Ovis aries: one gene and its partners. The protein of the gene in region 3 interacts with the protein of the main gene of each other region in a pairwise test. Links are inferred from orthologs where the notes say so. Each region holds a gene or a part of one and is shown on either strand. Other genes may lie near its edges.

Evidence for each region. The genes of interacting proteins can lie anywhere in the genome.
Region 1: the proteins of BCL2L13 (region 3) and PLP1 interact in binary tests that used the Homo sapiens proteins (3 or more experiments, as listed by UniProt). The two-hybrid records come from large-scale screens. The link is inferred for Ovis aries from reciprocal best matches to the Homo sapiens genes BCL2L13 and PLP1.
Region 2: the proteins of BCL2L13 (region 3) and TMEM86B interact in binary tests that used the Homo sapiens proteins (3 or more experiments, as listed by UniProt). The two-hybrid records come from large-scale screens. The link is inferred for Ovis aries from reciprocal best matches to the Homo sapiens genes BCL2L13 and TMEM86B.

The regions. Positions count from the first base shown.
Region 1 is NC_056080.1:129,376,610-129,380,357, reverse strand, and holds the start of PLP1 (myelin proteolipid protein), read right to left. Parts: upstream 2,815-3,748; 5' UTR 2,706-2,814; coding exon 2,702-2,705; intron 1-2,701.
Region 2 is NC_056067.1:63,010,484-63,014,045, forward strand, and holds TMEM86B (lysoplasmalogenase TMEM86B), read left to right. Parts: upstream 1-1,084; 5' UTR 1,085-1,106; coding exon 1,107-1,157; intron 1,158-1,425; coding exon 1,426-1,678; intron 1,679-2,272; coding exon 2,273-2,655; 3' UTR 2,656-2,983; downstream 2,984-3,562. UniProt on the Homo sapiens protein: Catalyzes the hydrolysis of the vinyl ether bond of choline or ethanolamine lysoplasmalogens, forming fatty aldehyde and glycerophosphocholine or glycerophosphoethanolamine, respectively and is specific for the sn-2-deacylated (lyso) form of plasmalogen.
Region 3 is NC_056056.1:214,941,293-214,944,940, reverse strand, and holds part of BCL2L13 (bcl-2-like protein 13), read right to left. Parts: intron 2,311-3,648; coding exon 2,203-2,310; intron 1-2,202. UniProt on the Homo sapiens protein: May promote the activation of caspase-3 and apoptosis.

The sequences.
Region 1 (3,748 bases), on a different chromosome or scaffold from region 3:
TTGAGAGCGTAGTTCTAGTTGGCAGGTTATTGAGTAAATTTCTGGCTTTCCTAGCAGAAAGCCAGGGCAAAAGGCCCTTGAAGCTGAGCAGACCTTTCAATCTGCCTGGTTCTCCTCTGGCTCTGCCAGGCCGAGGTGAGGAGTGGGGTGGGGCAGGGTGCATATGGTCATTTTAGTCAGTGTCTCTAGGAAAAGTAAGTGAATGTGCTGGTTTTCATCTGCTTTCTTTTTAGCTCCTGGCACTCTTGCAGTCTTCTTGCCATCATGATGAGATTCAGTTAGTCTTCAAGCGTTTTGTAAAAACCTGGACCCCTGCTCTGCCTCCACACTTTTTGCCTGGGCTGCACTCACACTGTGAGCCAGCCAAAACTACACTGCTCAGCAAACAGCCACCTTTGGAGGGAAGCATCATAGTCTGGTTACCAGGGTAACAGCCACTGTTCTCAGACATCAGGCTTTGCAAGAGCCAATATTTTGCTGTTCAGTAATGGCATTGTGTTGCTAAGCAGAGAATAATCAGCTACTGCTCTTTGGCTCTTTTCCAGTTCCATTGTTATCCGAAGGACTCGTTTGGAACATCCCTCTCCCAAATCAGGAAAAGGTTTAATGAACTACCATGTCGCTTGTAAATCTTTTGTGTGAACACTACAGAATTCCCTGTTCCTCCTCATTTCCGATCCTACTTGATTCTTTGTGGTGGAGGTAGTGAGCTTCCTGTTCCTGGGGATGATGAAGAAGAAGCTGTAGGAACATTGGAGAAGGGAATTCTGCACTGAGAATTAGCTCAGACAGCTTCTAAAGTTCCTTCCAGTCCAATCCCAGATTCTATGATATAATTTGTCTAGTGCAAGAGTTAGACAGCAACACACTCCCTGTCAGAAGCAGTAGTAGTCCAGTACCTTGCTAGAGATGGTCTATACTTACAAAGTATTTGAAATATCAATACTTTGCTATTGCATAACTGAGAACATAATGGCTACTCCATCATGCGCACCTAGCCCAAGTATGGCTCACCCTCAGAATAAGAGATCCCATACACAGCTTCGGCTGTGCCCTCATCTGCAATAATCTTCCCTGGAGAAAATCATTCAGCCTCTGTAACAGGAAAATGTCCCTATGGTCACCTGATTTTTCCTGTCTTTTCCTCAGGGCTTTTACTCCCTGAGGAAGTAGTATTCAGCATCCTTCCTTACTCCCTCTCTGTTTTTCATTCACAACCTACCCAATCAGCTGCCCTGACTTCAGGTAAGGTTCTTGACATTACCTAGGACAGGAATTGAGTTCTTGCAATATTCACCTCTCATCTGGCCCCACTTGACTGGAAAATTCTTACCCAAGTGCACAAAGTACATGCAAAGAAAGCTCAGTCACTTCAGGAAGAATAAGAGACAGCCTGTACATGCATCATTGTATAATAATTAGTATTATTATTATTTACAACTGTTACAGAGTTTGCCCATTTTCAAAGGACTCCGACATATTATTTTTTATTTTTATAACTCTGAGATTAGACAAAGCAATTATCATTATCCCTATTTTCCAGATGATGAAGTAATAATTCATAGCAACCTACCCAATGTCACGAAGTTCATAAGTAGCAGATCTGGGATTCGCACCTCATTATGTTCACTTCTAGTCCAGTGCTCATGCCTTAATTATCCTGCCTGAATACACGCCTCAAGAGCTCTCTCAGTGTTTCAGGATGAAACAACCTAAAAACTGACACTAGCCTAATATAATTGAAAACCCATCTCTGTAGATGCTTTTGGAACCTTCTGGGTAATACATTTGATGGTGAATACACAGGACAGTTGATTCTCATTTCATTTAGGACACATTCAAGCTGTTGCTCTTGTTTTGGCAAATGTGAGCAATGTCTACATGGTTCTGTGGCCTCCTGTATGGACAAAAATCCTTGTGCTCTGTACATCTTGCACTGAGCGGACCCTACAAGAGACCAGACCATGTAGCTTCTCTCTACAGAGATGCCCTCAGGACTCAATCAAGTCAGCAAGAGCCCTAAGGTCCCTCCTTGTCATAGCAGGGATTTAAAATCTGAGTCATGCCCTCAGGAAAGCTTAGTCTGTAATATTTACTAGATATGGTAACCCAAATGGGTGCATGCGTGCACACACACACACACAGCCCTACCCATATCTCTTCCTTATGGTAAAGCCATTGAGGACTTTATTTTCATTTCCTGAACTTGACATCGGCCTCCTCAGCCATGACGAAGCCTGAATCTATGACGCCCAATTTCATTCTGATGCCCCACAGGGTCCAAATTTTGTTTCAAGCAAGCAGTCATTTTGTACAGCTGAGAGCCAGCCAGCATGAGTTGCCTCCAGCAGAACCAAGGATGTCAGCTGACCAGGCCATTACCAGGACATGGGGATCAGGGGAAAAGAGAAGGCAGAGGGAAGCAAGGGGGTAGGAGGACACATGACCACATCCAGCCCTGCAGACACTCTCTCCAACGACCTGTGGGACTCCCCATGTGTTGCTGGAGTTCTGTGGCAATAAAGCATCATTCTCAGTACAGCAGAGAAGGAGTTAATCGAATTGCGTGCTAAGGAATGAAAAAGAAAACAAGTGCCAGAACACAATTCATTTCAACCATTAGAAACTCTGAACCCCAAAGTTCTTGCAAATTCCTATGCTCTGGCTTTGAATCTTCCAATCTAAAGTTTTTGAAACTCACCCATGTCTTTGGGACTCTGACTCCAATGGTAGCCGGCTGGCTAGTCTGTTTGTTCAGCTGGAAGGATCCTGGTCTCTCCAGTCTCCTTCTTCGGTCCTTTACTTTTTCTCTCTGAGTATCTTTGTCCTCTTCTCCTGCAATGAAAAGGGCTTTCTGATTGACAGCCAACCCCCTTAAAGGGACAGGCCCACTTTCCTCCTCCTCTCCTCCTCCCCTTCTCCTCCCCTTGTCCCCACCTCCTCAGGATACTCCCTTCTCTAAGACCTCCATCTTCTCTTTCTGCTTTTCAGTGCCAATTGTCTCTTTTTCTTTTTTTCTTTTCCCCCCTCCCCTAAGGCTTGCCTATGTGGAATTTCGCTTTGCTGTAGAGACATCTGGAAATGTGGTTTGGGGGTGGAAATAAAAGAAAGAGGTCCTGCAATCCAACTGATCCTTGGGTCTATTTTGGTATGAGATGTGGCAGCATAAGTGTCGGAGGCCATAAAGGTGTTAGCCCTGGTGAGGCAGTCAGGGTCAAAAGCCTAGATGTGACCTCCTAGTCCTTCTAACTCTGCCCCAACACCACCCCTCACGCCTAGCTGCCCTTGACCCTACCCGCCTTTACCCTCCCCCCACCACTCTTTAGAAAATAATTGCTTCTCCCAACTCTTCCCATTCCAGTTTTAGAAACACAATAGAGAAAAAAATTGTCTTTTAAAAATAATTTCCTCCAAATCCTTCCTGGTTTCAACTGAATGAGGACAAAACACAAGCTGTTGATTCCTCGAACAGATTTTGACCAAGCTGGAGAAAGCTAGAATTGTAATCATTTTATAGACAGGGTAACGGAGACCCAGGGAGGGGGCAAGCAGACACGCTGTGCAGGTTCATGGAACAGGCTAAAAGAAAGGCGAGAGTTGGGGATGTGGGTGATCTCCATGGAAGGTAACTGACTTTGACAGAACACAATCTGGGAATTAGATAGTCACTACCCCACCCTCAGAAGAGAGTGTCATGAGAGAGCTGTATCCAGATGAGAGGCAAGGAGTGGGTTGTGGTAAAGCCATG
Region 2 (3,562 bases), on a different chromosome or scaffold from region 3:
CGGAGACCTGGCTGGGGTCCCACTCCTCCTCCCGAGGGTCTGGGTGCAGCCCAGCTGCCAAGTGCCCTTGTCCCAGCCCCTCTCCCCAGGCGGGCGTGAGTGTGCGCGTGTGTTCGTGCTGAGCTTCTGTTTCATATCGCAAACGTAAACAAATAAAGGAGGACAGTTTAAGACTCGTGCTGCTCAGACATCGAGTTCGGGGACATGGGGTCGGGGAGCCTGAGCTGGTCCCACACCAGGGCCTCCTGGGTGGGACCCTCAGAGCGTCGAATTAGAGTCCTTGGCCTCCTTGCTGCCTGGTGGTGGGAACTTCTGCTCAGCTGGGAAGGGTTTCCTGGAGGAGGCGCTGAGCGCTCATTGGTCCCTGGCCCCACCCCCGCACCCCACCCCCCGTCCACAAACACGGGCTCCAGGCTCCGGGTGTTGTGGTGGGCTTCCTGCCGGCCCCTTCTCAGCCCCGTCACCCGCATGCCCAGAGCCCTTTCCCTTTGGTGAAGCAGTGGGAGTTGGAGGATTGGGGGCAGCCAACCAAGCCAGACCAGGCACGCAGGGCCGTGGCTTCTGGCGGAGACCAGCTGTGCTGTGCGCTGTGGCTGGCTGGACGCGGGGAGCCGTCCCTGGAGCCGCCTGTGGGCTAGCACACTGCCCGGTGCCGCTGTCTGCTGGGCAGGCCTTCCCGGAGGGGGGGGGGGCGGGGCGGGGCCGGCTCCTGAGGGACGGCCAGGCGGGGTGGGGGGGGCGCGAGGGGTGGGAGCGCCGCCGGCCCTTCCCCCTCGCTCATAGAGGAGCGGCCCTTGGAGTTCTGCGCCCCCTTCCCTCTGAGCCGCCAGGCGCAGCCGGTGGGAGGGGCGTGGCGGCCAGGCTCCCTAGGCAAGGAGGAAGCCGGAGGCAGGGGCCGTGGAGGGTGAGATACCCTGGGGTCGCGCGGGCGCTATCAGCGGTGCCAAGCAGGACTGTCCCAGGGCGGGGCAGCATCTCCCTGAGCCTCTTATCAGCCCCAGAGTCCACAGGACGCTCCTGAGTTAACGTGTAACCACACGCCATCCCCACCACCCTCAAAGCCAGCAGTGCCCACATGCAGGCCACTGTGGGGGCTGCAGGCCGACATGGACGCCCGGAAGGAGGGGCTGCCCCGGAAACCTCGCTTCTCAGCTCAAGTGAGCGCCGCAGAGTTGGGGACCGGGCCTGGGCTCCTGGGGACGCAAGTGGCCTGCAAGAATCGGGGGCGGAGGTGGGCCAGGTTCTGTGAGCCTGGACGTCCTGGTGCCTGTGCGTCTGCCCGCTGCCCTGGGCAGCATGGCTGGGGTCCCCGGGCAGGGCTGGGCCTAGCGCCCAGGGGCCAGGGGCGCTCTAGAGGGGGAGTGGTCCCGGGAGCTGGGGGTTGGGCTGCGTTGCAGCTGCTCAGAGGCCTCCTTACCTCCAAAGCACCCACAGCCGCGCGTGGGCCTGGGGCTGCTCCCGTTCTTCCTCGCCTGTGCCGTCTACCTCCTCGTCCAGAACTCCACGGACCAGCCGTCCTGGGTCAGCGCCCTGCTCAAGATCCTACCCATCCTCTACCTGGCGGGGTTTCTGGGGACCGCGTTCCCCTGCGGGGGCTACCGCTCGCTCCTGCAAGGGGCCCTGCTTTGCTCGGCCGTGGGGGACGCCTGCCTCGTCTGGCCTGAAGCCTTCCTGTACGGTGAGAGCGGGTGACGGGATGTGTTGCCTTGTCCCTCTTGGATGCCCCCCCAGCGGGTGGAGGGTGGGATGCCGTGGTGGGGGGATGACTCCCCAAGAGAACTCCCTGGGGAGCCCATGGCCGTGAGGAGACGCACCCAGACCCCCGCCCCCACTGAGCGCCTCCCACATGGGTGCGGGCGGTGTTCCCGAGGCCGCGTGAGCGTGCAGGGTTTCGAGCACGCTGCCAGAGGCCAGCCTCACCGGGAAGGTAACGCCTGAAATGGGGCGTGAGTACCAGCCAGGTGCCCCTGCAGGCAGAGGGCTGGCAGGTGCAGGAGCCAGGGTGCGTGCAGCCACTGGGGCCACCGCAAGCTGGGGTGTCCCTCTGCGGGCGGTTCGGAGCAGAGCTGCATGGAACGCGGTGCGCGCCTGAGGCGGTTTGGGGGCCAATGGCCAGAAGAAGGGATGGCCGAGTAGGCCACCCTGGGAGACGGGGCGGTACCGCCAGGGTGGGAGCTGGCGCTGGGGGTCCGCCCTCTCCCTCGGGGCGAGGGCGACAGGGTGAAGCCAGAGAGCAGCACGCTTTACCAGGCGCCCCCCGTATCTCCTGCAGGCATGGCTGCCTTCGGCCTGGCCCACCTGTTCTACCTCCGGGCCTTCGGCCTCACGCCCCTGAAGCCTGGCCTCCTGCTGCCCCTCCTCCTGGTTTCCAGCCTCTACTTTGGGCTCCTGCATCCTCACGTCCCGCCCCACATGGTCTGGCCCCTGCTGGCTTACTCCATAGTCCTGGTCGCCATGCTGTGGCGGGGCCTGGCCCGGGGCGGGAGTGCCCACTGGGGCGCCCTGCTGTTCGTGCTTTCGGACACCGTGCTGGCCTGGAACACCTTCACCCACCGTGTGCCCCATGGCCACCTGCTGGTCATGACCACCTACTACTCCGCCCAGATGCTCATCACCCTGTCAGCTTTCCAGAACCCCAGGCTCAAGTCCCACTGACTTGGGGCTGAGGTGGGCAGGCGTCCACCCTCTCTCCTCCTGCAAGGACCTGGCCCTGTGCCCTGCCCCCCAGAGCAGTGAAGCCAGAGAAACAGCCTTGGGGGCGAGAGTAAGGCCCCCAGACTCCAGTGTACCGGTGCCGGTTCATCTGGAGACTAAACCGTTTCTGGAGTTCCGAGTCCACCGCCTTGTGATTTCCAGGCCCTCAGCCAGACCCGCGCTGGGTACCCCCAGCCCCTGGCCTACTTCTGTGACTCCAAATGCTCTCCGCCTTTCATGGCCCTGATTTATTTTTCTGTTGCTTAAAGTAAAGTGGGCGTTGAACCAGCGACATCACCGTTCATTTGGGGAGGGGTGATCACAATAACAGCAGATAAGTAATTTTCCTCCCTCCCCACCCCCGCACAGAATTTACCATTTTCACCACTTTTAAGCCCGTGATTCGGTGACAGTCCATTCGCGGGGTTGTGCTTTGAACAGCTGCTTCGGGCCCTCCCTTGGGAACACATGTTTGTGTGTACAACGCAGTGATGTTACCTCTGCCCATGGTGGGCTGCTGGTGGCCGAGCCCTGGTGCCCAGGACTTGGGGGTGGGGGTGGGGGCGTGGAGTAACCCTCCTCCCCGGGGCCCTTTGATGGCGGCGGGGATTCATCGTATTCATCGTGTCCTTCGTCCAGATGAGGACGTTACTGAGCTGAGGTCAGGAGGAGGCTGGCTGACGTTAGTTTCCTGTGGCTGCTGTCAGAAATTACCATAAGCTGGGCGACTTAACAGAAGTTAAACCTCACAGTTCTGGGGGCCGCAAGCCCAAATCCCTGGTGTCAGTGGGGGTGCCCTCCATTCAGGACACGCTCGGGGGAGGGTCCTTCCTGCCCCTCCAGCTCACGACAGCCCAGCCAGGCTTCC
Region 3 (3,648 bases):
AGCATCAATCAGTTAAATGTTAGGAAAGGAAAATAAAAGATTAACATTAGGTTTCTGGATTTCTATAAATTTATATGTATATTCTTTCCTTACTAACAGGGAGCTGATTTATAGACATGATTTCTATTTTTTCTTGTTAAAAATTACCGGGCAGGGAATTCTTTGGTCCACTGCTGCTAAGTTGCTTCAGTCGTATCCGACTCTGTACGACCCCATAGACGGCAGCCCATCAGGCTCCTCTGTCCCTGGGATTCTCCAGGCAAGAATACTGGAGTGGGTTGCCAATTCCTTCTCTAATGCATGCATGCATGCTAAGTTGCTTCAGTCGTGTCAGACTCTGTGCGACCCCACGGACAGCAGCTCACCAGGCTCCTCTGTCCACAGGATTCTCCAGCAAGAATACTGGAGTGGGTTGCCAGTTCCTTCTCTTCCTTGGTCCACTAGTTTGGACCAATACTTTCACTGCCAGCGGCAGTGGCCTAGATTTAGATTTGATCCCTAGTTGGAGAACTATGATCCTACAAGCAGTAACGGGAGGCAAATCAAATCAATCAAATCCCATCAATACGATCCATTCATAATCCGATCTAATCGATCTGAATTAATCCCATCAATAAATCAAGTAAATCCAGGCAATGCTACTGCACAATTAGTGTAACACAGTATGTTGCCAATATAACTTTCATATGCACTGAAAGCCAAAAAATTCATGTGACTTTTTATTAAGACATCTGCTCTACTGCAGTGGCCTGAAAGCAAACCCACAGTGTCTCTGAGGTATGCCTGTTTCCAATTCCAACCTACTCTAGCCCTCCTATCTCACCTGAGGGGGAGGGGAAAAAACTCAGAAACTGGCTCGAAGTTCACAGCCCAGAGGCAGAAGCTCACTGAAGACTGAGATCTAACCACAGGGTCCCAGAGAGCTTCCCCCCTCCCCACAGCCCACCACCACCTCACTAAACACTGATTTACAACAGTCCCTGTTATTCAGTCAAATCAAATCAATCCGATCCCATTCCATCAAATCAATCAAAATAAATCAAATCAAATAAGGAAATAAAATCTTATCAAATCAAATAAAACACGTGTGTGGATGACCCTTGAAAATGCTGTGCTAAGTGACAGAAGCCAGCCACAAGCCACGGCTCAGGGCGTGACTCCACTTACATGCAGACCCTCCCAGGAAGATGCAGGGAGACAGGAAGCAGATTAGCTGGGGGTGAGGATGGCTGGGGAGTGGGAGCAGACGGGAAGTCACTGTTAACTGTTATACAGTGTTTCTTCTGGGGATGTGAACAATGCTCTAACTTTAGACTGTGATGCTGGCTGTACAATTCTGTGAACATACCAACCACTGAACTGTGTACCTTTAAATGGATAAATTTTTCGTATATATCTCAATAAAGCTGCAAAAATTATTTATGGAAAGCAAAGCAAGATATAACCCAGGGCTGCTCTGGTGGTACAGTGGTTATTAAGAATCCGCCTGCAACGCAGGGGACATGGGTTCAATCCCTGGTCTGGGAAAATTCTGCAGCCACAGAGCAACTGGGCCCCTGCTCCACAGCTGTGAGCCTGCACGCCCTGGGGCTTGTGCTCGGTAATAAGAACACACCCCAGTGAAGAGCACGCCCTCTCACCATAACTAGAGACAGCCTGTGTGCAGCCACGAAGACCCAGCAGAGCCAAAAGCAAAATAAAAATAATTTTTTAAAAAGAAATAACCCACATGCTCCCCTCCATAAATAAGGGAAAGACTGAGTAAATCTTCGTTTGATATACGCATTTTTAAAGTTTACGATTCAATGTTAAGCACAAAGTCTGTAGCCACAGCATCACAGGCACACTGCTGCGACCGCCATCGACAATATATGCGTGAGCAGGAAGGCAGCACACTGGCAGCTCTCTCTCTAACGTTGTTAATATAAAGCAACAAATCACACTGAACGGAAAGTACCTTAACATGACTGATTAGTCCAATACTTAACACCAGAAAAGGGTCCATCTCATCTGCTGGGTATATTGTGGAAACTTATTAATATAAACAGATGCCCCAGGAAAGGAAAAGGTACCTTCTAGTTTCACCACTATAATCCTAGACCCAAGAAGTTATGTAATGCTGTGAACACTTGACTATAAAAAAACAAATGAAGCCACACCAAACAGAGCCACTAATTAACTAGGAAATAAGAATAAAGAGACCTTCAGAAATTTCTTTGTCCAGGGATTTGAGCTCTTCTTCAATTTCAGTTTTAACTTTTAATAAAACTTCTTGATCCAGAGATTGTGAAACTGTATCTTGCTGAACCCCTGAAAACAACAAGAAAGGTTACTATCGAAAGACAGAAACATTAGAACATGGATAGGATGTTTAAGCAATAAGTCAGAAAGTACAAAATCAAAACTCATTATCATGCCCAAGGGCTAGGAGAATCTTAAAAATGAGGAGGCTGAGGCCAGGCAGGTTGCACCGCTAGCCCACCCCTGGAGGAGCCGTGACTGGAGCTCAGGCCTCAGGCCAGCGTGGACAGAACCACCAATTCAATTCAGCCTGTGTCCTCGGCTTCCGGTTGGGCTGCTAGGAAGAAGTCTGCTCAGAAACATTGCTGACATAACAGAGAAGAAAACCTGAAAGGCTATCATGTTCCCTTACCTTCATATCTTCATGCAAACTGCATTCCAAGAGAAGGCCTATGATCAACAAAGCATGTGTATCTTCCAACTTAGGGAAACCAGGAGCATAACCCAGTGGGAGGCAAAAGCTACCCTCCTGCAGTAGAAGGCCAGGAAGGGCCTGCTCTGTAGCATGGAAAGGAGAACAAAGGGACAGCGAACCAAAATAAAACTCGGACCCTCAAGAGGGTTTTTGTCGTGGAAAATATAAAATTCCTTAGGTATTTCTACCACAAATGCAACAGAAAGGATCCCCTCATGGTCATGGTTAATATTTATCTGATTAAATGACATTTGATTTAACATTTCTGCCTATGTAAATAGCTGAAACTACATAAATAAAAATTTTAAAACATTACCTACAACAATATGCTACTAAGCAACCAATGGACCACTGAAGAAATCAAAATGGAAATCAAAAATACCTGGAGACAAATGGAAACACAACCACCCCAAATCCATGGATTAAAGATTTATAAGACCTGAAACCATAAAATTCTAGAAGAAAACAGGCAGTATGCACTTTGACATGGATCTCAGCATAATTTTTTTGGCTATGTCTCCTCAGGCAAGGGAACAAAAACAAAAATGAACAAACGGGGCTACATCAAACTAAAAAGCCTTTGCATAGTGAAGAAAACCATGTGCAAAGCATAAAGTCAGCCTAATGAATAGAAGATATTTGCGAACAATAATATCTGGCATATATAAAGAACACATACAGCTGGACATTAAAAAAACCCCAAAACAGAAAAGCCTCAATTTAAATTGGGCAGAGGACCTCAATAGGTATTTACAAAGAAGACACAAAGATGCCACCAGGCACACATTAGTGTTCAACATGACTAATTACCCGGAAAATGCAAATCAGAGCCACACTGAGATTATCACCTCGCACCTGTCAAAATGGCTATTACTAAAGAGGCAGTAAATAACAAAGACTGGCAAGGTAGCAGACTGTCGATGAAAACGGAG